Linked DNA regions of Coturnix japonica. The protein of the gene in region 1 interacts with the protein of each later gene in a pairwise test. Links are inferred from orthologs where the notes say so. Each region holds a gene or a part of one and is shown in the gene's direction. Other genes may lie near its edges. The genes, in order: FLII and LRRFIP1.

The links.
Region 2: the proteins of FLII (region 1) and LRRFIP1 interact in binary tests that used the Homo sapiens proteins (3 or more experiments, as listed by UniProt). The link is inferred for Coturnix japonica from reciprocal best matches to the Homo sapiens genes FLII and LRRFIP1.

The regions. Positions count from the first base shown.
Region 1 is NC_029529.1:5,093,278-5,104,216, reverse strand, and holds the start of FLII (protein flightless-1 homolog), read left to right. Parts: upstream 1-3,811; 5' UTR 3,812-3,852; coding exon 3,853-3,915; intron 3,916-4,413; coding exon 4,414-4,524; intron 4,525-5,049; coding exon 5,050-5,121; intron 5,122-5,241; coding exon 5,242-5,322; intron 5,323-5,538; coding exon 5,539-5,624; intron 5,625-5,757; coding exon 5,758-5,919; intron 5,920-6,001; coding exon 6,002-6,105; intron 6,106-6,182; coding exon 6,183-6,358; intron 6,359-6,464; coding exon 6,465-6,622; intron 6,623-6,755; coding exon 6,756-6,840; intron 6,841-7,030; coding exon 7,031-7,178; intron 7,179-7,256; coding exon 7,257-7,390; intron 7,391-7,459; coding exon 7,460-7,672; intron 7,673-7,746; coding exon 7,747-7,926; intron 7,927-8,000; coding exon 8,001-8,083; intron 8,084-8,167; coding exon 8,168-8,242; intron 8,243-8,477; coding exon 8,478-8,561; intron 8,562-8,630; coding exon 8,631-8,802; intron 8,803-8,877; coding exon 8,878-8,982; intron 8,983-9,176; and 13 more. Other genes in the region: MIEF2 (mitochondrial dynamics protein MID49), read right to left, coding at 624-1,678, 2,434-2,623, 3,098-3,244. UniProt on the Homo sapiens protein: Is a regulator of actin polymerization, required for proper myofibril organization and regulation of the length of sarcomeric thin filaments. It also plays a role in the assembly of cardiomyocyte cell adhesion complexes.
Region 2 is NC_029522.1:8,635,707-8,646,558, reverse strand, and holds the start of LRRFIP1 (leucine-rich repeat flightless-interacting protein 1), read left to right. Parts: upstream 1-3,638; 5' UTR 3,639-3,653; coding exon 3,654-3,761; intron 3,762-7,534; exon of another isoform or gene 7,535-7,964; coding exon of another isoform or gene 7,965-8,009; intron 8,010-10,852.

The DNA.
Region 1 (10,939 bases):
ACCCTCCTTGGGGGCAGAGCTGATGCTGGCAGAGCAGCCGGCAGCGCTGAGCTCGGGCTGTCATTTGGTACCTGAAATGATTTCCAAAGAGTAACCCTGCCATGGCATTACCTTGCAGCATCCATTGTTCCCTGGCATGGAACAATGTTCCCACCTCACCCCATGGCACTGCATGACTGAGCTCGGTGCTCACAGAAGGACCCACACAGCACATCATAAGCCATGAAGTTTGTAGCAGCATCAAGGGACGTGCGTGCTACAAGGGGCAGGGGAAGCTCTGAACTGCTCAGGTCTCTGTTTGGAGCACAGGGGGAGCCTAGAGGTTGGGATGGCAGGCTGGGAAGGAGCAGTTTGCTGAGATCCAGCAGCCAAACTTGTTCCATGTTGGTTCCCAGCAGATGGGACTTTGCTTTAGGGCTGCATTCCCTGTGGGTAAGGCAGAGCCCCACAGCAAATGGCTTCTTACACCATCACCCATTACTCTCAGGCACGTTTTATTCAGAAAGGAAATACTTTTGTTCATAAAGTGCAAGAACTTGGCCTCCTGCCGACTAGTCAACTAGAAGCATCACAGCCCAGACAGCTGAGGAACACCCCACGCTCAGTAGCTCCCGCTGCACCAGTCACTTCTCTGTCAGCAGGAGTCCTGGCTCAGACACAGCCCTATAGAGCAGGAAGCCCATCTCCTCTATTTCCTCTTCCAGCAGGTCACAGAAAAGGTTGACTTTGGGGTTGAAGTAGCAAGGCAGGACCCCATTCTCCAGGTAACCCACCAGCTCCTCGAGCACTTGCTGGAACCTGGTGGCCAGGCTTTCCTCTGCCCAGTCTGACTCAGTGGTGCTCAGGTGAAGGATGACGTGTGCCAAGGGGCTGCCGCTCAGCTTGTGCAGGGCAGGATGGATCCTGCAGACCCCATTCAGGATACGGAGGCAGTGCTGCCGAGCACCAGCATCACCAGCATCCAGCTCCTTCACCTTCAAGACCTCCGCCCTGCCAAAGCTCTCGAGCCAGAGGTTTTCCACCAGTCCTTCAGGAGGAGCGGCCAGAAGAACTTTGTCCTCCATTTCCACCACTGGGAAGAGGCCGATGCTCAGCTCAACCTGATCGTGTTTGACATCCAGCCTCAGCTCCCGGGAGGCCACGAGCGGGCGGATGACCGTCCCCAGCAGGCTGCCGATGGCCGGCCAGTTGATGGAGGCCACCAACATCTTGTGTAGGGTCTCGTTGAGCACATTGGAGGAGAGGTACTGGCCCACGAGAAACCTGTCCCAGGGGCTGCGCCCACGAGGGAAATACTCCAAGTCAGTCCTTTTGATCATCCAGTACTGGGGGTTTCTCACAACGGTGTCCTCGCCTGGGATGAGGCTCCAGAGAGTGGCATCCAGGACTACTGGCAGCATGAAGTGGATGTGGTCAGCAGCAAGAGCTCCGAGGCCATCGAGCAGGGGACCGCTGAGGAAGAGGCTGCCAAAGGGCAGCTCTGGGCACTTGTTCTGTAAGAAGCTCTGAAGCTCAGCACAAATGCTCCGGGCCAGCTGATGGGCAACTGCCACTTGCTCCTCAGACATAGGGAGGTGGATGCTGTAGTGTGACAGCAGTTTCTCCTGCAGTGTGAGACAGCAGGGAGTGCTGGACTCGACTTGAGGAAGCTCTGGGGGCGCTGGGCAGACCCTGGGTTCTGCAATAAGGGGATGGGGCAAAGGCAAGGAAAAAGTCATGGATCAGCCAACACATCTTCTCATGCCACAGCCATAAAGAAAGAAAGCATGTGCTGAAGTCCCAGCTCTCAGCCTTTGGCCACAAAGCTGATGTTGCCAGGAGAGGCACAGAATAACAGCACTTTCCAGCCAACACAGGGCTTAATCCAAACCCCAAACCCAACAGCACCCAGCTAGAGGTGGCTAAGCCCAGCTAAACAGCAGCAGCCAGACAAAGCACAAACCACCAGGCTCCTTCACAAGGCTCAGCCCCACTGCTCACCCCTACCCTAACAGCTCCTTGATTGCTGAGTCCTGAATCAATCCCACTCTGGGTGCAGTGCCTCAGGACCTGCCCAGCACCAGGCTGGGCTGCTTTCCTACTCAGAAAACACCGCCTTTGCAGCCAGCTGGACAAGCCAGCCTTTGTCTGCAGCAGTTCACAGGCACATCTTCCTCCCTAGACAGAGCTGACCCAAAAACCAAGCGCTGTTCAACAGGAAACAAAGGCAAGGCAGCCTCTACCAACCAACTGGCTGAGTTACCAGACCAACCAACCAGCAGTTATCAGAGGAGCTGCTACTGAGGCACTGCCAAAAAAGGGGCCGCAGCTTGGGAGCCTCCCAAGGGGGAAGACACAATCGGGTCAGCTTTCCGGTCACAGAGCTAAAAATAAAGCCCAGCTCCCATGCACAGGCACAGCCAGCCAAGGTGATCTTCACCCACACGCACCCACCATAAGCATCAGCTGGTGCTGGTGGTGGAGCCGGGGAGAGCAGGGGTTTGCTCAGGTCTTCCCTTCTCTGCTTCTTGGGAGGTTTTGGTGTTGCCTTGATCAGAGCCAGGTCCTGCCAGCTCTCCTCCAGGCTCTTCTGCTCAGCTTTAGGATCATCTTCCTCTCGAGGGCTCGTGGCTCGATCTATCAGCTGGTGGGAGAGACACATGGAGGGGATGTGTGTGTGGTCCACAAAACCCTCACCTCACCCAGAGAACAAGCAGTGGGGGCTCCCCCATCCCAACTGCACTGAGAGCTACAGGCCCCAAATAGCCTTGTTCACATACGGGGATGCTCTACCTGCTGCTGCTCATGCAAACACAGAGAGATGCTACAGATGGCAGAGGGGGAGGAGACCCGAGATCAGCAGCCCCCTTTACAGAAGGCTGCTATTGCTGGGAGAGCAAAGAGACCCAGGGAGGATCCACAGGGAAAACCTGCACAGACACGTTGTTCAATCAGCAGCACATCCCACCCCAAAGCAGGGAGGGGACGGCACAGACAGGGTAACAGTCACACACAGCTCTTCTATGGCTCTGGGAGTCTCATAGATGCACGCAGGTTCCCGAAGACAACGAGGCACGTCTCTGGGACGCAAAGTGGCACATCACCCCCCCAGCCTCACCCGTTTGACGGCCAACGTGGCGATGGCGAGCACGGCCGCGCCGCTGACGCCCAGCACCAGCCTGGCGTTGGCCAGCAGCAGGTCCAGGACGCTGCCCAGCCCGCTGTCATCCCGCCGCTTGCCCCGCTGCTGCGAGAACTCAGCCATGGTCACCTGCGGGAAGGAGGAGGAAGGTGCGGTGCGATCTGACAGCGGGGAGCCGGCTCCGTAATGACACCCGGCGTGTAACGGCCATGGGGGGAAGGCGGGGAGCCCGGCGGGACGCGAGCTGCGGGGCAGCCGCCACCACGGCCGACCTTCAGGCCCACGGATCCCGCTGCTGCCGGCTGCGGTGGTGGCGCCGGGCCGGACCAAGGGTCACCCCATAAAGATCCGGCCGCCAACAGATGGGGACGGGACGAGGGGGCTGCAATGGCACCACGGAAGGGGCCGGCACAAAATCAGCCCCCTTCACCGAGCTGCCAAGGGCAAACAAAGGTAGGACAGCCAACCCCACTGACTGACGGTACTACCCGCGGTTATTTCCTTCTCCGAACCCCAACTCCGAGCCCATCTCACCCCCCACCCCATAGCCCCCCCCCACTTACCCCGCAGCTCCCAGCGGGGCGGACCAGCAGCCCGTGCTGGCGCGCCGGCGCGCCCGCAATTCGCAGCGCAGCCAATGAACGCAGCGCTCCTTGGCCCCGCCTCCAATCAGCGTCAGGGCGGGGCGGGGTGTTGGGGCGGTGGCGCGTCCCGCCGGGTTCCCCGCTGTCATGGCGGCCACCGGGGTGCTGCCCTTCGTCCGCGGCGTCGACCTGAGCGGTAACGACTTCAAGGTGCGGGGGCGGCACCTGCTGTAGGGGCGGTACCGGGTGTAGGGCGGTACCCGGTATGGGGCGGTACCCGGTGTGGGGCCGGGCGGGGTGGGGGGAGAGCCGGCGGAAGTGCCATGGATGGGAGGGACTGTCAGGCCTGTCCGCTCCCCGCCAGGCCCGGCCATCCCCGAGGTCCCCGCTTAGGGCCGGTCAGTCCCGGCCCTTGTTGTGACCCTGGCAGGCCCTGCTGTGTGAGCGGGGCTTTGGAAGGCCGGGAGGTGTCAGCCCACAGTCCTCATCCTGTAGGGCTGGGTGACCTCAGTCTGCAGATCCCAGTCCCATAAGGCTCCCGTCCTTAAATCCCATCCTTAAATCTCGTTCTCATGGGGCTGGGTGATCCCAGTCCCCAGCTCCATAATACTGGGTGATCTGTCCCTCAGCAGCCCCACAGCACCAGCCCTGTCTCTCCATTGTCACCCCACGGGTCATACAGTTTCTCTTACCTTCATGCCCACACAGGGTGGCTACTTCCCAGAGCATGTGAAGGCCATGACCAGCCTGCGCTGGCTGAAGCTGAACCACACAGGGCTCTGCTACCTGCCCGAGGAGCTGGCTGCCCTGCAGAAGCTGGTGAGCAAACAGGGGATGGGGCACTTGGGGGGGCTGCGCAGCCAAGAACCTGCTGCCTGCCTGCCTCGTGTGCCAGCGTCTAATAATAGGGGCTGAGTGAGGAAGTGTGGTTGAAATTGGATGCAGGAGTTGTTAGGAAAGGGGCTGAGGCTGATGTGTACTGGGTTTCACCTTGTTTTCTTAGAAAACCAGACCAGAAACCACACTCTCTTCCTCTGCCTGTTAATAGAAGGGAAGGGTGAAAGTTTATGGGGAGAATTAAAGGTTTGGGCTCTCTTAGCAAAAGCGAAAAAAGAAAAACAAGCAGCAGCCAGCAGCTGCCTGGAATTATTCCCTGGCAGCTCGAGTTCTGTGCGTAGCTGTTGGTGGAGCCCATGGCTGAGCTTTGCTCTGGTGGTTCCTACAGCATATTATGGACATGCTGGAGCCCCCCAGCCAGTTTGGGACCCCAACAGCCCAATATGGGTCAGGGCTGAGCTCTGCTCCCCTCACTACTCACTGGGGCTTTGTCCTGATTCCCCACAGGAGCACCTGTCCGTCAGCCACAACAGCCTTACCACGCTTCATGGCGAGCTGTCCAGCCTGCCCTGCCTCCGGGTGAGTGTCCCGTTGTGCATCCCATGCAGTGGGGATGGTGGGCTCTGGTCCTCCTGAGGGGCTCAGCAGTTGCTGGAGCCGGGTGGTGGCTGCAGTCATTCCTCTCTGTCCACTTTGAAGGCAATTGTGGCACGTGCAAACAGCCTGAAGAACTCAGGAGTCCCCGATGACATCTTCCAGCTGGAGGATCTTTCAGTGCTGGTAAGTGCAGACTCTCCATGCTGCCCTTTCCCACAGTAAGAGCTCCAGCCTGGACTCCTGGTCACGCTCCTTTGTGCTCTTCAAGGAAGCACGTGGGACTGAAGAGCATCTGGAACGTGGTCCCAAAGATGCCCCATGATCCTTGGGGGTGGGCGGTAGTTGTGTTATGGGGGACTCATCCCAGGACTGAGGATGATTCCTGCTTTCATCCCCCAGGACCTGAGCCGCAACCATCTGACTGAGTGTCCCCGGGAGCTGGAGAATGCCAAGAACATGTTGGTGCTCAACCTGGGCCACAACAGGTGGGGATCCTGGCAGCACAGCTCCCCCTGACCGTGACCACCTCCACCCGTCACCTCCACTCCCCTCTTCACTCTGGGTCCCCCTCTTTGGGTTGGATCCAGGGCCACCCTGAAGGTCCCCATGTCCCCGCAGTATCGAGACCATCCCTAATCAGCTTTTCATCAACCTCACGGACCTGCTTTACCTTGACCTGAGCAACAACAAGCTGGAGAGCCTCCCTCCACAGATGAGACGCCTGGTGCACCTCCAGACCCTCATCCTCAATGACAACCCCCTGCTGCACGCACAGCTCCGGTACGGCTCCATTTTGTGTCTGGTTCCCAAGATAGTGGAGCCACGCAGGGCCATGCCCTGATGCTGTCTCTGTGACACACAGGCAGCTCCCAGCAATGACAGCCCTGCAGACCCTGCACCTCCGGAACACACAACGCACGCAGAACAACCTGCCCACCAGCCTGGAGAGCCTGGTCAACCTGGCAGGTAGGGCTGTGTTGGGGTGTTGCATCGGGGCTGTCCTGGTGTGTGTCCTGGTGGCCTCAGCCCCATTTGTTCCCCAGATGTGGACCTGTCCTGCAATGACCTCAGCCGTGTTCCCGAGTGCCTCTACACGCTGGGCAGCCTGCGGCGCCTCAACCTCAGCAGCAACAAGATCACTGAGCTGTCCCTGTGCATCGACCAGTGGACACAGCTGGAGACCCTCAACCTGTCCCGCAATGAGCTCACCTCCCTGCCTGTGCGTGTTGTCCCCATCCCTCCGTCATGTCCCCACTCCTCCATTGTGTCCCTTCCCTGGCTGCAGTGCCAGCCCTCACCCCACCACCTTCCCCTTCCTTCCCCAGTCTGCCATCTGCAAGCTGACCAAGCTGAAGAAGATGTACCTTAACTCCAACAAGCTCGACTTCGATGGGATCCCCTCGGGCATTGGCAAGCTCTCCAACCTGGAGGAGTTCATGGCGGCCAACAACAACCTGGAGCTCATCCCTGAGAGCTTGTGCAGGTAGGGGGCAGCCCCCGGCCAGATTTGAGCTGTCCCCAAGAGGGGACACGTGGAGGTGGGAGATGATGGGGTGGAGGGTCCTGAAGAATGCAACCCTGGCACAGCCCTGTCTCAGCATCCCCCCACCCCGCAGGTGCTCCAAGCTGCGGAAGCTGGTGCTGAACAAGAACCGCCTGGTGACGCTGCCAGAGGCCATTCACTTCCTGACAGATGTGGAGGTGAGAGCCCAGCACTGTGTGTACCCCTGGGGTCTGAGGGATGGGGTGAGGGCAGGGCGCTGCCTGCAGCCTGGTGCATGGTCCCCCATCATCTCCCCAGAGCTTGCAGTGCTTTGAGCACTCCCATCCTACCTCACATCCTTGGTGTTTCCGTGCCTCAGAGCACTGAGTTCTCCCATCCCCTTGGCAGGTCCTGGATGTGCGTGAGAACCCCAACCTGGTGATGCCCCCAAAGCCAGCAGAGCGGACATCAGAGTGGTACAACATCGACTTCTCCCTGCAGAACCAGCTCCGCCTGGCCGGAGCCTCACCAGCCACCGTGGCAGCTGCTGCAGCAGGCAAGTGGACAAGGAGGCACGGCCCTGTGCCATGCCTGGGGGGTCCCGCTGCTTCTCACCCCGTCCCACTGTCCCCAGGGAGCAGCACCAAGGACCCACTGGCCCGCAAGATGCGTCTGCGGCGGCGCAAGGACTCAGCCCAGGATGACCAGGCCAAGCAGGTGCTGAAGGGAATGTCAGATGTGGCCCAGGAGAAGAACAAGAAGATAGAGGTAGGTCTGCATCCAGCCCTGTCCCACCATGGGGTGTCCCACCTGGGTGACCCATCCCTGTCCACGCAGGAGAGTGGGGAAGCAAAAGCTCCGGATCTGAAGACACGGCGCTGGGACCAGGGCCTGGAGAAGCCCCAGCTGGACTACTCAGAGTTCTTCAGTGAGGATGTGGGGCAGCTGCCTGGCCTCAGCATTTGGCAGATCGAGAACTTCGTGCCCACGCTGGTGGATGACGCCTTCTATGGGAAGTTCTATGAGGCCGATTGCTACATCGTGCTGAAGGTACAGCAGGGCAGTGGGGATCCCTGTGTCCCCAGGGCATTTTGCAGCCCTTCTCACACCCTGTCCCTCCACAGACCTTCCTGGATGAGAACGGCTCCCTCAGCTGGGAGATCTACTACTGGATTGGGCAGGAGGCCACTCTGGACAAGAAGGCGTGTTCTGCCATCCACGCCGTCAACCTGCGCAACTACCTGGGGGCCGAATGTCGCTGCATCCGTGAGGAGATGGGGGATGAGAGCGATGAGTTCCTCCAGGTGAGGCTGTCCCAGTGCTCCACACAGCCCCAGCCTTCCATTCCCCACCCTCACCCCCTTTTCTTTGCCCCTAGGTTTTTGATAATGACATCTCCTACATCGAGGGTGGCACGGCCAGCGGGTTCTTCACTGTTGAGGACACTCAGTACATCACCAGGTAGGGCTGGGGGCAGGCGGCTGGGAGGGGGGACACGGGGCAGGTGGTGCCCCATGTTCAGTCATGGCCATCTCTCTCCCCCAGGCTGTACCGTGTCTATGGGAAGAAGAACATCAAGCTGGAGCCAGTGGCACTGAAAGGGACATCCCTAGACCCCCGGTGAGCAGGGAAAGAGTGAGGGAACATATGGGTCCCTGAAAAGGGACAGGGAGCCGGGTCCAAGCCAAGACAGTGTGGCTGCAGCTTTGGGGTGGAAATGAGCTGCCCTTCTTTAAGATCAGGGATTCAAATCCCATGCAGAGGCTTTACCTGCTTCACAAAGACCCCAAGTGTGGGGAGGATGGTGGTGCATCCTGCTCCCTTCCTCATCTGCTCTTATCTCCATGTTCTCCAGCTTTGTCTTCCTCCTGGACCACGGTCTGGAGCTTTTTGTGTGGCGGGGAAGCCGGGCCACGCTGAGCAGCACCACCAAGGCCAGGTTAGAGCTGGGATCCTGGGCTGGGGACCAAAGGTAGCAAGGAGCCCAGCTCACCCTGCGCTCCCACAGACTCTTTGCTGAGAAGATCAACAAGAACGAGCGCAAGGGCAAAGCAGAGATCACACTGCTCTGCCAGGGCCAGGAGAGCCCCGAGTTCTGGGACGTTCTGGGGGGGCAGCCCGAGGAGATCCAGCCCTGCGTCCCCGATGACTTCCAGCCCCACAAACCCAAGCTGTACAAGGTGAGGAGCTGCCGCCCTCTGTGGGGTCATCGCTGTGCCACGGCCATCCTCACCCGGTGTCCCTGTTCTCTGCAGGTTGGCTTGGGGCTGGGTTACCTGGAGCTGCCCCAGATCAACTACAAGCTGTCGGTAGAGCACAAGAAGAGACTGAAGGCTGATCTGATGCCTGAGATGCGCCTGGTAGGACATAGGATGGGGAGGGAGGCTCTCCTGTTCTGACCCGTGAGATGGGTTCTGCTCTCTCCCTGCCTCCAGCCATGCTCTGGGGTATCCTGGGTGCAGGATGCTCTGCTTATCCCAGCTGGCCTTGGGGAGCATTTCAGCCTGGGAAAAGCTCAGCAGTACCTGACCCTGTCCCTCCTTTGTGTCCCCAGCTGCAGAGCCTGCTGGACACCAAGAACGTGTACATCCTGGACTGCTGGTCTGATGTCTTTATCTGGATCGGGAGGAAATCTTCACGGCTGGTGCGAGCAGCAGCACTGAAGCTGAGCCAGGAGCTGTGCGGGATGCTGCACCGCCCCAAGCACGCCATGGTCACACGGAACCTGGAGGGCACCGAGTGTCAGGTGGGGGGACACTGATCTGAAGGGCAGGGATGGGGTTACACCTGGAGCCTTCTGCTCCTTCTCCCTACCCAGTATCCGCTGCGTTTAGGTGTTCAAATCCAAGTTCAAGAACTGGGATGACGTCCTGCAAGTGGACTATACCCGCAACGCTGAGAACGTGCTGCAGGAGGGTGGCCTGGCCGGCAAGGTGCGCAAGGATGCTGAGAAGAAGGACCAGATGAAGGCTGACCTCACCGCGCTCTTCCTGCCCCGGCAGCCCCCCATGCCCCTGAGTGAGGTAGGGCTGGGGATGCCCCACGTGTCCCCCGTGGCAGCAGCAGGTCTGGGACTCCGTGGGCTGACTGGGCACATGGGGATCCACAGGCAGAGCAGCTGATGGAGGAGTGGAATGAGGACCTGGATGGGATGGAGGGCTTTGTGCTGGAGGGCAAGAAATTCGCACGGCTGCCCGAGGAGGAGTTTGGCCACTTCCACACACACGACTGCTATGTCTTCCTCTGCAGGTAAACACAGTTTGTCGCTCCTGGGGCTACTGAGCCCCTGCATCCCCCATTACCCTGCCCAGATCCCACCTCAACCTGTCCCTGCACTCAGGTACTGGGTGCCAGTAGAATACGAGGAGGAGGAGGAGAAGGAAAAGAAGAGTAAAGGCAAAGAGGAGGAGGAGGGTGAAGAAGAGGAGGAGGAGAAACAACCTGAAGAAGATTTCCAGTGCATTGTGTACTTCTGGCAGGGCCGTGAGGCCTCCAACATGGGCTGGCTCACCTTCACCTTCAGCCTACAAAAGAAGTTTGAGAGTCTCTTCCCAGGCAAACTAGAGGTGAGTCCCTGTGCTGGGATTCCCTTGTACTGCCCATGGGGAACTGCTCCATAACCCAGCCCAGGCAGCCCCAGCCCTAAGGATCCCCCTGTGTGCTCCTGGAAGAGGAATATGGGGTCCTCCTGCTTGGCCTTGCTGCTCCCCTGTCCCCCTCTTTCCCTGGACAGAGGGCAGGGGGTGGCAGCTGAGATGAAGATGGCAGAGGTGCCAGCAGCCACCCACACAGCTGGAGCTTGGGGTTGTGCTGGGGGCCCCCTGCCCCTGCTGACACCCACCTTGCCCAGGTGGTGCGCATGACCCAGCAGCAGGAGAACCCCAAATTCCTGTCACACTTCAAGAGGAGGTTCGTCATCCACCGGGGCAAGCGGAAGGAGAAGGCCATCCCACCCCAGCCCAGCCTCTACCACATCCGCACCAATGGCGGAGCCCTCTGCACCAGGTCAGCTCCCCCTGACCTGTTGGTGCTGCCCAGGAACGCTGGGGGACCACAGCTCCTACTGATGGTGCCTCATGGGCTTCTCTTCTAGGTGCATCCAGATCAACACAGACGCTGGGCTGCTCAATTCTGAGTTCTGCTTCATCCTCAAGGTACTGCCTGAGGCTGACTATGTTTTCCCAGCAGCAAGGGAGGGGAGGGGGACCAGCCACACATCCCCAACCCCACCATTCTGCTCCCCCCAGGTCCCATTTGAGAGCACAGACAACCAGGGCATTGTCTACACCTGGGTGGGACGAGCTGCTGACCCTGACG
Region 2 (10,852 bases), on another chromosome or scaffold:
TCTTATGACAGACTTGAAGCACCTCCATCCTTTTGCTACCTTTGTTAGTTTGCTTCAGCTTTATTTTTCCCTTCTTTATTCTTTGTATAGGTGATTGAAAGGCATTTGGAAGGGCAAGTGATTTAAGGAAGTCTGAAATAACATGTAGGTACACAGAGGAATAGGCCTTCTACAGTGGTCATGTATCCTGTTTGTTATCCCATAGTTATCTTTAAAAGTGCTGATATCTTCATCCACATTTTCCATGACAGAGTTTTCAAGCAATGGTACTCTTGTACCAAAAATATGGTGCCCCTGCATTGTGTGATTGAAGCACTGCCTCTTTGGTTACTCAGAATGTTTGCTTTGTTTGTTACTCCCTCTTGTGGGTTTCAGGACAGGCTGAACAGGCTACAGGTTCACTCTTGGCCTTTCCGTATGGAGCAATTCATCACCATTACTCCTCTGCTATGCTAGATGGGATGCTGACCTTCAGACTTGCCTCGTGCATACATGGGAGAATTAGAGCATTCTTTTATTTCAAACAGATTAAGTCTGGGTGGTACCTTTAAAAAAAAAAAAAAAACAAACAAAAAAAAACACTTTCTTCCTACTCGTGTTCAGAAACTTGCAATTAATTCTGTGCCTTTAATGTGTAGCGTGGCTTGTTTTCTCATAAAAGTAGCTGAGAGTATGTCATAGCATTTCTGTCTTGCAGACTTGGCAGGCACATGATACAGTGACCGTATTACGATCTCTCATATCTCTTCTGCTGCAGTCAGCACTTCTGAGTTGCAGTTTGCAGAGTGTTGCTCTTGTCTGCAGAGAGCTGCTATGCTATGTGAGTTGCTCCTGAAAACTAAATTCCATAAAAGAGCTGTGTTTGCTTCCAGCCTGCTCTCCTTTGTACCTAATAAATACAAGCGAGTTAGCTGTGCAGAAGATTAAGCTCTTACTGGAGTTTGTGATTCGTTCTGCTGGCATAATGCTTTTGAAATGTGTTGTGTGAAGATTTCAAAGTATTACCTCTCTCATTTGTTTTCTTCCAGAGGAACATTTAATCTTTTCTCTGGGCAAGAAACAGAAGCATGGTGCAAGTCTGTATTAATTGATGACAAAGGCTGGTGCAACCTACTGATTAGTTTTTGGCATGAAGATTTGAGAACTTCTCGCTGATACAAGTAGATTTGACCTATAGCAAAATGTAGAGGTCTCACACTAAGGGTGATTGTCAAGCAGTTCACACATCCTAACTTCAGTCTTAAGCAACTGAACATAACATTACAGTGTGTCTTGGCTTTGGAAGCTGTTCTTCTGTATCAGCATTTTGTGTGGCCATGCAATGCACTGAGTAAAAAGCTCTCAGGAAACTTTTTCTGCATCAGCTCTGACCTCTGGTCTGACTATTGGACACTGGAAATTCAGAAGTGTAGCGCCTTTACTGCGGAGCTGTACTTAGTGTCTCATTCACAGAGCTGTGCACAGTCTCACTCTGCTTTCCAGCTGATTGGAATGATGATGGCTTTACAAATGGAAAAAGTCTACACCCAGCTCAGCCTGGTTGAACCATTGCATTTAATTGAGAAAGGAAAAGTAAGTACAATCTGTATCTGGTGGTTCTTTATGATGCATTTTGATTTTTAGGATAGAACTTACTGGACTGAAAAACCTTCTGTTTGTGTCGAAGTTCTTTTTGTCTTTGCAGGAGTAACACTATACATGTGGCTGTAGCAGTGGCTGCCCTTGTTTTGCTCATTTCAGAAACTGAGATAAAGCAGACACCTTGTAAACAGGAAAGAGGAGCAGCAAGTTCCTTTCATTCCAGGGCTAATCCCTAAAAATTAATGGAAGAGCTGTTTGTTTATAGAAACAGGACTATGGCTGTTAAATCTTGGGTGTTGCAGGCTTTGGCTCTTGTCCCATGTTCTTTTATTTTCCTCTGTAACTTTTACTTTCGTAAGCATCTTAATTCCTATACTCCTTGTGCTCTTGCTTGATATTCATCATCTATTTTGTCTATATAATGTTTTCAACGTATCCCACCATGTATTTTGCTTAGTCTGCAGTATTTTCAACCTGTCCCTCAAAGCAGCATTAGTAACTTTTGGATTATTTTTTCTTCAATTAAAAGCTTATGGGTGCTGCTTTAAGCTGAGATTTGTGACATGTGAACATGCTAAAATTCTGGGCCATATTGCACACTTATTCAGATGAAGTTTGGAATGCTGTGGGTACCACACTTTGGTCTTCACTGACTATATTGATTGTAACAATCTCTGACTAGCAGTGGTTATTTATATTTCAAATGCTATTACCAGTCAGGAACAAAAGCTTTGTTTATGTCCATGTTCAAAAAGGTGCTGGCATTCACCCAGCCCTGGAGCCCTCCCTGACCTGTGTTTACTCTATAAAGAAGCCACCAAAATAGTGCTGTTTATTGCAGGCTCCAAATATGGCTATTGTGCTTGCTTCTTCCATAAGCAGCATGGTCCAGACAAGTGTGTTTGCTCTTTGCTGATGTGTACCAACAGCTGAATTCAATTAGCATGCGTACTTCCTTACTGAAGGTCTACTGAGACCTGGGCGCTTACAGACCAGCCCTACTGTGAAACATGCCATTTGCAGCTTGGCTTTAGCTAGAAAGAAGTGGCGGAGCATTATCAAGGATCTGAAATACAGTTCAATTCATTTTCTGTGTGTAGCATTGTACTAAGATGTCAAGCTGGAGAGAGCGCAGAGCCATTATGGCAAGTGGAAGGGATCACTGAACACAGCTTACTGCAAGTGGGTGTTTTAGGAGACAGTGCTGTGGACCTTATTATATTCTTGTCAAAGTGCAGTGTTTGCTCTTACTGTCGGTTGGTTTTCTTGGGTTTTTCCTACTGGATATCATTTTAGATTCAACAATTGTGATTTGCTTATCTGTCTGAAGGATCCAGCTGTTTCCAAGGTCAGCGCTGAGTGCCTTGAAACTACTTTACGTGAGTAATGGTCTTGAGCTCAAGTACGTGAATGAATGAAGTCTTGCATAGGCTGTATAAAGCTCATGGCTTTATTCTTTGAGATAACAGCTGTGAAGTGGCATCCAAATGCTTCCCTTATGGGAGCAGTCACTCCCAGACTAGAGTTGATCAGGGATGCTAACTGAAGATGTGACTGAAATGCTGATACAGTGTTGGTTCTCTGCCAGGTCAGTACACCACCTATAGAAAAGTGGTCAGGATAGGAAACTGCAACATGCTCCTGCAGGTCTGCCCACAGCCTCTGCGCTGGGGTTGTTCTTACCTCCCTTCTGTGCTGTATTTGAGTACAAAAATGGGATGGGTATTGCTAAACAGCCGTGAAAATGGTATGCCCTCTTTGTATACAGATCAACCAGTTTAGGATCACTTTCTGTTTGTAATCAATTCTCTTCCCATGCAGGCTCTTTAGCTGCAATATTTACACAGAAGTGTTGGGGTTTTTTTTTGTTTTTAATGGCCTGCAGAACTGATGAGCTGTCACACTCATTTTCTTATGGAGCATGTTGAACTCTGCAGCATTTTCACGTGGAGGGGGTTTGTTTAGATTGAAGGAGGTGCTTCCAGCACTGTCCCTCCTCCCACTAGTCCAGAGTGCCTTAAAGCAGAGCCCTGCTTATAGCTGAACCAGCTGCAGTGAGCCAGCGGCCTGGGATGCACGGCAGGCCCAGTGCTGTGCCAGAGACCACTCTAGGAGAGCAAGCCCCTGTGGAACTGCTCTGCGAACTTGTTATTGATAGTGTGCATGAACTACACAAACAGGTAAGAGAAAAAAAGAGACTTTATCAGCTTTCTGATTAATGCATGAATTTCACAGCATCATGAATGGTTTTCCCACCCTGGGAGGTTTAAAAAAGCAAAGGGTTTGCTAAGGGAATGATTGCCGGCTAAATGCTGCTAGGGTCTATGACAATTGTTGCATGATACCCCCCTTTTTACAGGTGTGTTAAGATTGATTCCTTGTGCTGGGGTGAGCTTTGGCAATCCGTGCGATCTCATGATGGAGTTCAGTTATTGTTTAGACTGTATTTTTAGCAGCAGCCCTTTGTGACTGCATGGCAATACAATTTATGAAGTAAGATGCAACTCCTTAATTGTCTCTTATGTTGTAGAGCTGTACGCAGTGTTCACTGCAGAGCTCCGCAAAGTAAACATTTGCTTCACTTATGGGGAAAGGGTTCTTGTCAACGAGACTTCCCAGCTTCTGGTCACATGCTTGAATTATCTCTGAGATGCATTTTCTGGCAAATGCATAAGCAAATGTTTTTCAAGTTCATGCTGTTCTTATGTAAATTCCTCATTAGCTATGGGTTTCTTCCCCTCTTCTTGGTGTCTGGCTTAAAATGTTAAGCATGGAGAGCAAGAATGCTGACCCATTAAACAGAGATAACTTGTGCTTGCACCATCGAGATGCCAAAGGGGAATGTCTGCATGATCGTTCTCCTGGCACTTGAAGTTAACAGAGGAAAAACTAAGTTCTGGAATTCTGAGGAACAAAATAAGAACTTGCTCTTGGGACGCCCTTGCAAGACGAGCTTGCCATGAGAAATCCTAATTTAACCTCCCAACAAACCCTGGTCTTGCAGGATTGTGTGGTGTGAATTAGTAAGTCAGGAAAAGATGCTTAGGTTGCTGCTGGGCATCACGAGGCACAACAGCTCTCTTTTTGGTCAGTTTGCCTCTGTAGGTGTCCTTAAGCGTTGGAAAATTGGACTCTTGTCAAAGTTAATAGTTCTGCTAAGATGTTTAATGGCGTGAGTCTTCCATGTTTGCAGGTACGTAAGGTAAAGAAATGACTGTTGTACATTTGAGTTGACACAGTGTTTTATTTCTCTGTAGTGAACGTGGAATGTTGTAAGCAGTTTTCTTTCTCTTCCTTGCTGTGTCGCCATCTAGCCTCAATCGAACATTATCTGTTGATACTGGCAGCATGTTCTTGTGATGAAAACCGGACATTGTTTTCCTAAGAAGCATTTAGTTGTGTATACTTGAGTCCATTGCCTTGGTGACAGTTTACAAGGAGGTTTTGTTAACTCTGCCAGCTGAGCTGCAAGTGTGCCAGGATGCCCACAGCAGGCAGTCACAATGAAGTGAGATACATATGTAGTTTCTTGTCTTCATGACTTCGGTAGGTTGTTACTCCATAGGTTGTTATAGACATTCTTGAAATTAGAACAAGATCATGAACTGAAGGAGGAAAAAACCCTTGAGTAACTACATTTGTCTATTACAATGTGCTTGCCAGCCTTTTTGTCTATAACTTGAGCTTTGCATTTCCCCTTCTCGCTGTCAGGAATGCCAGTAATAAATACAATGCTAGCATTCTAAAATATGCTACTTGAAGATAAAAAGAAGACATAATATTTTCTTTCGTATTATTTTTAAGATATAAATGCGGTCAGCAGAGTTGCAGATGGATGCGAGGGACAGCATTGCAGTGTGGCTGTTAAGATTAATATAGGGGTGGTCTAATATGGAAACGTGTTGCAGGTTTTCTTGGTGCTATTATTTGTATGTTAAGCTTTTGGCCTTTTTTATTCTAACTCTAAGTCTAGTGATTGACTCTGGTGTAACATGCCCTGAGGACATCAGTTGGGTGTGACCTGTGTTGGAGGGCTCCCCTGGGTTTCACAGCAGTTGTTCTCTGTCAGCTTAGTGGTTCTGAATGGCTTTGGAGTACAATCAAGTAAGATGCGGCATTGGCTGCCTAGCTTGCATCTCAGCTGATGTAGTTCAGCATCATGTGTGCTTGCTTTCTATTTCAGTGCCTGGAGAACCCCACAGAGCACCAGAGGAAGGAGAGGTGAGGAAGAGAACGTGTCTGTAGCAGTTCCCCTTCCTGGGAAATCCAGCAGCACCAGCTTGCAAATCCAAACAGAATGTGCCTTGCTCTATGTAGAATCAAGGCAGACGTGCCTTGAATGCTGCCAACTGTATATTACTAAGGGGGAAAAAAAAAAAAAGGAAATTCAGAGGTATTAAAATGACCTCCTAATCCTGGAAGTCTGTGGCACACTGTGTGTTTTGGCTTACCCTGAGGTTTGAAGTGCTTTCTCAAGTAAGCCCATTGAAAACAAACATCTTGGGTTCTATGTTGGTTTTAGAAGTAACTGAAAAAAGGTGTGTGGGGGGAGATTCTTAGTATCATAGGCCTCATACAGGAAGTATTCACGTTTCTGGTATATCTTTGTAGTGACGCACAGGATACAAATCTGTACAGGTCTGCCAGTAAAAATTAGAGGGGAGTTGGATTCTTGTTGGTCATGAAAGCCATAGCAAATCACCTACTTTATGCTCATGTAAAATTCAGCATACTTCTTCATGCTGAGTTACCACGCTTTCCTATGTGAGGAAAGACAGTTGTCTGGAAGAGTTAACTTCAGAGACTGGCTCCTGTCCCACCTTAGGGGGAGCTGCCATTACCCAGGAGCGCACTTTCCAAGCTAGTTTTGGTTTGGGGGTTTCTGCAATGCTTTGCTCCACTGTGCTGAGCACTGCAGGATAACTGCTGGGTGATGTCAGACTGCAGCTCTAGAGCAAGGGAATCTGCTGTGCCTTAGAAGTTGTGTGAGGACCTGGAATATTTGTTATTCTTTCAGTCCTGTAAAATTTGTCAGCAAGAGCAGAGAATGCCAAAGCATGAGGGAAATAGAGCAGACTGGAGCTCCCTCCCATTGCTTGTGATGGAGGAGCAGTGTGTCTGTCTCGCCTGTCCAGGAGCAATAGGATGTTGCAGGGTCTCCCAACCAGTGAAAGCAGCCAGCTGGTTACCTTCTGAATGCAAATAGTGCCAGCGCTTCCAAATTAGCTAAAATATTGTCAGCGGCATGGAAAATACAGGAACAGGGTGCTCTGCCAGCAGGAGAATTGAGCTCTTCGTTCAGGGCTGGCAGCTCATGGAAAAACTGAGCTCAGCTCCTGGGCGGAGACTTCATGAGGTCCCCACCTTTGCCTGTGACCAGGAAAGCAAGAGCAGGGTTTGGTTGTTGGTGACCAGGAAAAAGAGAGCAAGGTTTTGTTGCTAAGGGAGCGCCCTGTTTTGCTTGTCTGGTGTACCGCGTGCCAGGAGGAGATGACTTGTAGCGCCTGCTATTGTTGCTGCTGCAAAACCTCTGTGGGTAAAAGGAGCTGCTTAGGGTTTTCTTCATACCCCAGTAGCTTCCTCCCTGCCCTCACCTCTGCTTTCCAGGCAAAATCAGGAGGGCTGCATGTGGCTCTGGGCAGCCTGGTCTGGTGGTTGGTGACCTTGTGTGTAGCAGGTGGTTGGGATGAGATGATCATTGTGGTCTTTTTCAACCCAGGCCATTCTGTGGTTCTTATGCTGGTGCACCTGGTTTACACCACTGCCCTGAGCTCAGCTCTACCCGAACCAACGCAGCGTTATTGATAGAATTGCAGCAAATTAGAGGCAGTTGAGTGCTTTATTTCTGAGATGCGAACGCCGATGGTGTGAATGTCTGCGTGTAAGCATCTGTTCGAGTGCTTCCTGTTGTTAACATTCAGTGTGCTCGGAGATATGCAGCTCGGCTGCGCTGCCCAGAGGGCAGCCATAGGCTAAGCGGGTGGTTGTGCCGTTGTTGCCGGCGTTTATCTCCAGCACATAAAGGAAGCTGTAAGCCTGGGAAGCTCTGCAGCCGTTCTCACAATTGCTTTCTCTTTCTCTACACCAAGAAGCACGCTACGTGCATAAGAGTCTTCACCAAAAAAGCGGCGTGAATAGCAATCGGTAGAAGCAACAGGCGGCGTGCTGATAAGAGCCAAGAAACGCGTGTAGTTGTCACATCGGTGCCGGCGGGCGCTGCTGACTCACAGCGAGTACCGACAGCCCGCGGGCACGGAGCGCTCGGACTTCGGCTCCGGGAGGTGCCGGCAGCGCGTCGTTCTCCGCCAGCACGAGCCTGGCGGGGTCTGCTCGGAGGGGCCGGGTGGGGCTTTTCTCTTTCATGCGAAGATCCAACTGCAACGATGCCGATAGAAGCGGACTGCCTGAGCCCAGAGGCTCAGAAACTGGTACGGCGTTGGGGAGGGTGGGGGTGCTACGGCTCTTACGGTCCGAATCACAACCGGGCAGCACCTGTGCTCATTTAACCCTTCGGGGGCTGCTCTGCATTTAATCGGCTTTCACAACGCTTAGTAAGCGGTGCCCCCAATTGGGTATGTTTGCCCTGAACTTGTCTGCCCCCAGTTTAAACCGTAGCGAGTTTGGTTTTATCGCCTCTTGCGGGACAGTATCTTCGCAGTCTGCGTTACAGCCCAGGTTACCCAGCTGCGTGCAGTGAAGCTCTCGGCCGCTTAGCGAGCTGCTGAGCAATGCTGCGCCCCTAAATTGCTTCCTCCGGGTTTCTGCTGTGTTACAGCTGCACGTGCCTTTGGCTGAACTCAAACATTATAATCATAGATGCTTAGAGAAAGTTCTGCTGTTTGTTTTTCTTGCCTGTGAGTTTGTAAGGTTTGGAACAGTCTGTGAGAACAGCCTCAGTTTGGATGCGCTGTGTAATTAACAGCACCTCTACAGCAGTGGGGTGCCAACTGTTGGCATTGACTGGCACCCACGAGTAGCTAATTCTTCCCTATGCTTCGAGTTTTCTAAGCCCTTTTAAAAAGTAAAGTATAGGAGTGTGAGTTATTTGCTTTTCAAATTGACATGGGAGCAGATATGCCAACTTAATTTCTTTTTGTGCTTTGTAAGTGAAGTTTAAAAGCAGCCCTGTGTCTCCATGGAGTTGTAATAGGCGTTACTGGGCTGCCGATGTGGGTTGGTGATGTGAACTGTCATCCTCCTGGATCCTCCCTCACTGTCACCCCATGGAACAGAGGGAAGCTGTCAGACCTGTCTGTAATGATCCCCACTGTCTGAAGGATGATGGTGGCCTGTGGTTATTAGAAAGGAATCCTTACCTTTATATTTAGTAATCATTTGCATGTAAGAGAAAGGTAAAGAGCTGGGCAGGATGTGGGCTGACCAATCCCTGTGTGATTCACTGGCTGATCATTACATGAGTAAGTGGTGCAAAGTGTACTTAGGCTCCCAGCTCAGATGCAAAGAACATCAGGTAGATACACTCCAAGCATCATCACGTACAGACACCCTTGTTTCAGCGTGAAGGAGCAGGTGATTATTCACGTTGAGCTCCAGGAGCTCAGGTGAAGGAAAACACTGCTGTCACTTAGTTGAGGTTGAGCTGATAGATCTATGTCTGCTGCCTTAGGAGAATCTCTCAAATCAGGTGCTGCTTGTGTAAATAAACCTTACACTTTTGAGGAGCACAGCAAACCTTGCCAGGTTTCTTTTGACTAATGAAGCATGTGACTTATGTAAATGGGGAGAGCAGTTGTGTAACACTTGAAGAAAGTTTTTCCATGCAGGGTACTGGGCTGGAGCGGCAGTGCCCATGAGAAGCTGCGTTCGCAGCAAACAAATAGCTGGCTCTGTCTTAAGAATAAGGCAAGCAGCTTATGTTAGCCTGAGAAAAGTTGTTAAAAGAATATGTAATAGCTGCTGTATAGTTTGCAGGTGTATTTTTCTGGTAATGAGATCAGAGAGCTTTCTGAGCTTGATTTTGTGCTTACAGACCAACACTTGAATGTTAAGTCTTCGAAGCGGATGGCTTTGAGTACACTGGATTTAAGGAGTGCTTTGTATAGATTGCAAACTATTACGTGTGTAGCTGTGCTGTAAGTCAACACAGTCATTTTCCAGTGCTGAGAAAAGCAACCTAATTTCCTGCCTTTGTTGGTTGTTTCTTGGGGCTTCCAGTTTAACAATGACCCCTTGAATCTTTCCAAAAGGAAAAGCTCCAAGAATGCACACCTTCAGGATGTGTGTCACTAGCATCTACCTAACCAAGTCACCCAAAGAATTCCCTCATTGAGACAGTAATGAGCCGGCAGCTTCTCCAGGCCAGGAAACCTGCCCTTCTGTTGCCATTGCCCTTCAAGCATCAGTGCTGGGAGCACAGCACTCCTCACTGGTTCCCACCGGTGACTGAAAAGGGGTCGGGATGTCTTCAGCCATCCCAGATTCCTAGTTCTGTCCATAGCTCAGTGCTATGGGCTGATTGATGTTGGAAGGCTCATACCCAGTGCCTGCCTTTTCTCATCAGTAGTGAGCCAGGTTATTTAATGTTAGCCTGCTCAGAGCTGAACGTACTGAACTCCTTCATGCACGATAAAGATCTGCAGAGCACTGGATTTTTCTTTGGAAACTGAACAGGGCTGTGGAGCGCAAAGCAAGTGGACCAACAAAAGCAGCCGGCGTTTTGCAGTGCAGCGAGGTGTTTGCCTTGGGGCTCTGAGTCTATAAATCACCCCGGGCAATTGCAATAAAATGACAAAAATGCAGGATGTGTAGCTGGAGTGTTTGAGCAACTCCCTTGAATTAAGGCGATCATTCTTCAGCTGGTGTAGGTTTCCATGTTGTGAGCACTGTGCTGTCTCTCTCCTTGTTTTTCCCACAGGCTTTTACAGAAGCCCCTTAGGGTTTATTTTGGATGACACGCACAATGCAGCTGAAGCTGCCAGTACTCCTTGTCAGATGCACAATGGTTCATAAAGGGAAGTTACAAAGGCTTTCTAATGAGTGCAATTAGGCTTTGTGTTTTTATTCGTGTGTTTTTTGCTAGTGATCTGCCTCTTCTGATTGAGGTACTGCTCATGGAGTTGGTAGTGAATTTTAGATGTGTTTCTATCTTAGTGATTTTCCATCTCGGATCCATTTAATAGCTATTTATTTTGGCAGCCTTGAGACTTCCATTTCAGCTCTTTAAGTCTGACTTGCAGAAGCCTGTATACATTTGTGTTTGCGGTATGCTGAGCACTGAGCCCCTTGCAAGATATGGGCACCTCTCTCTGCC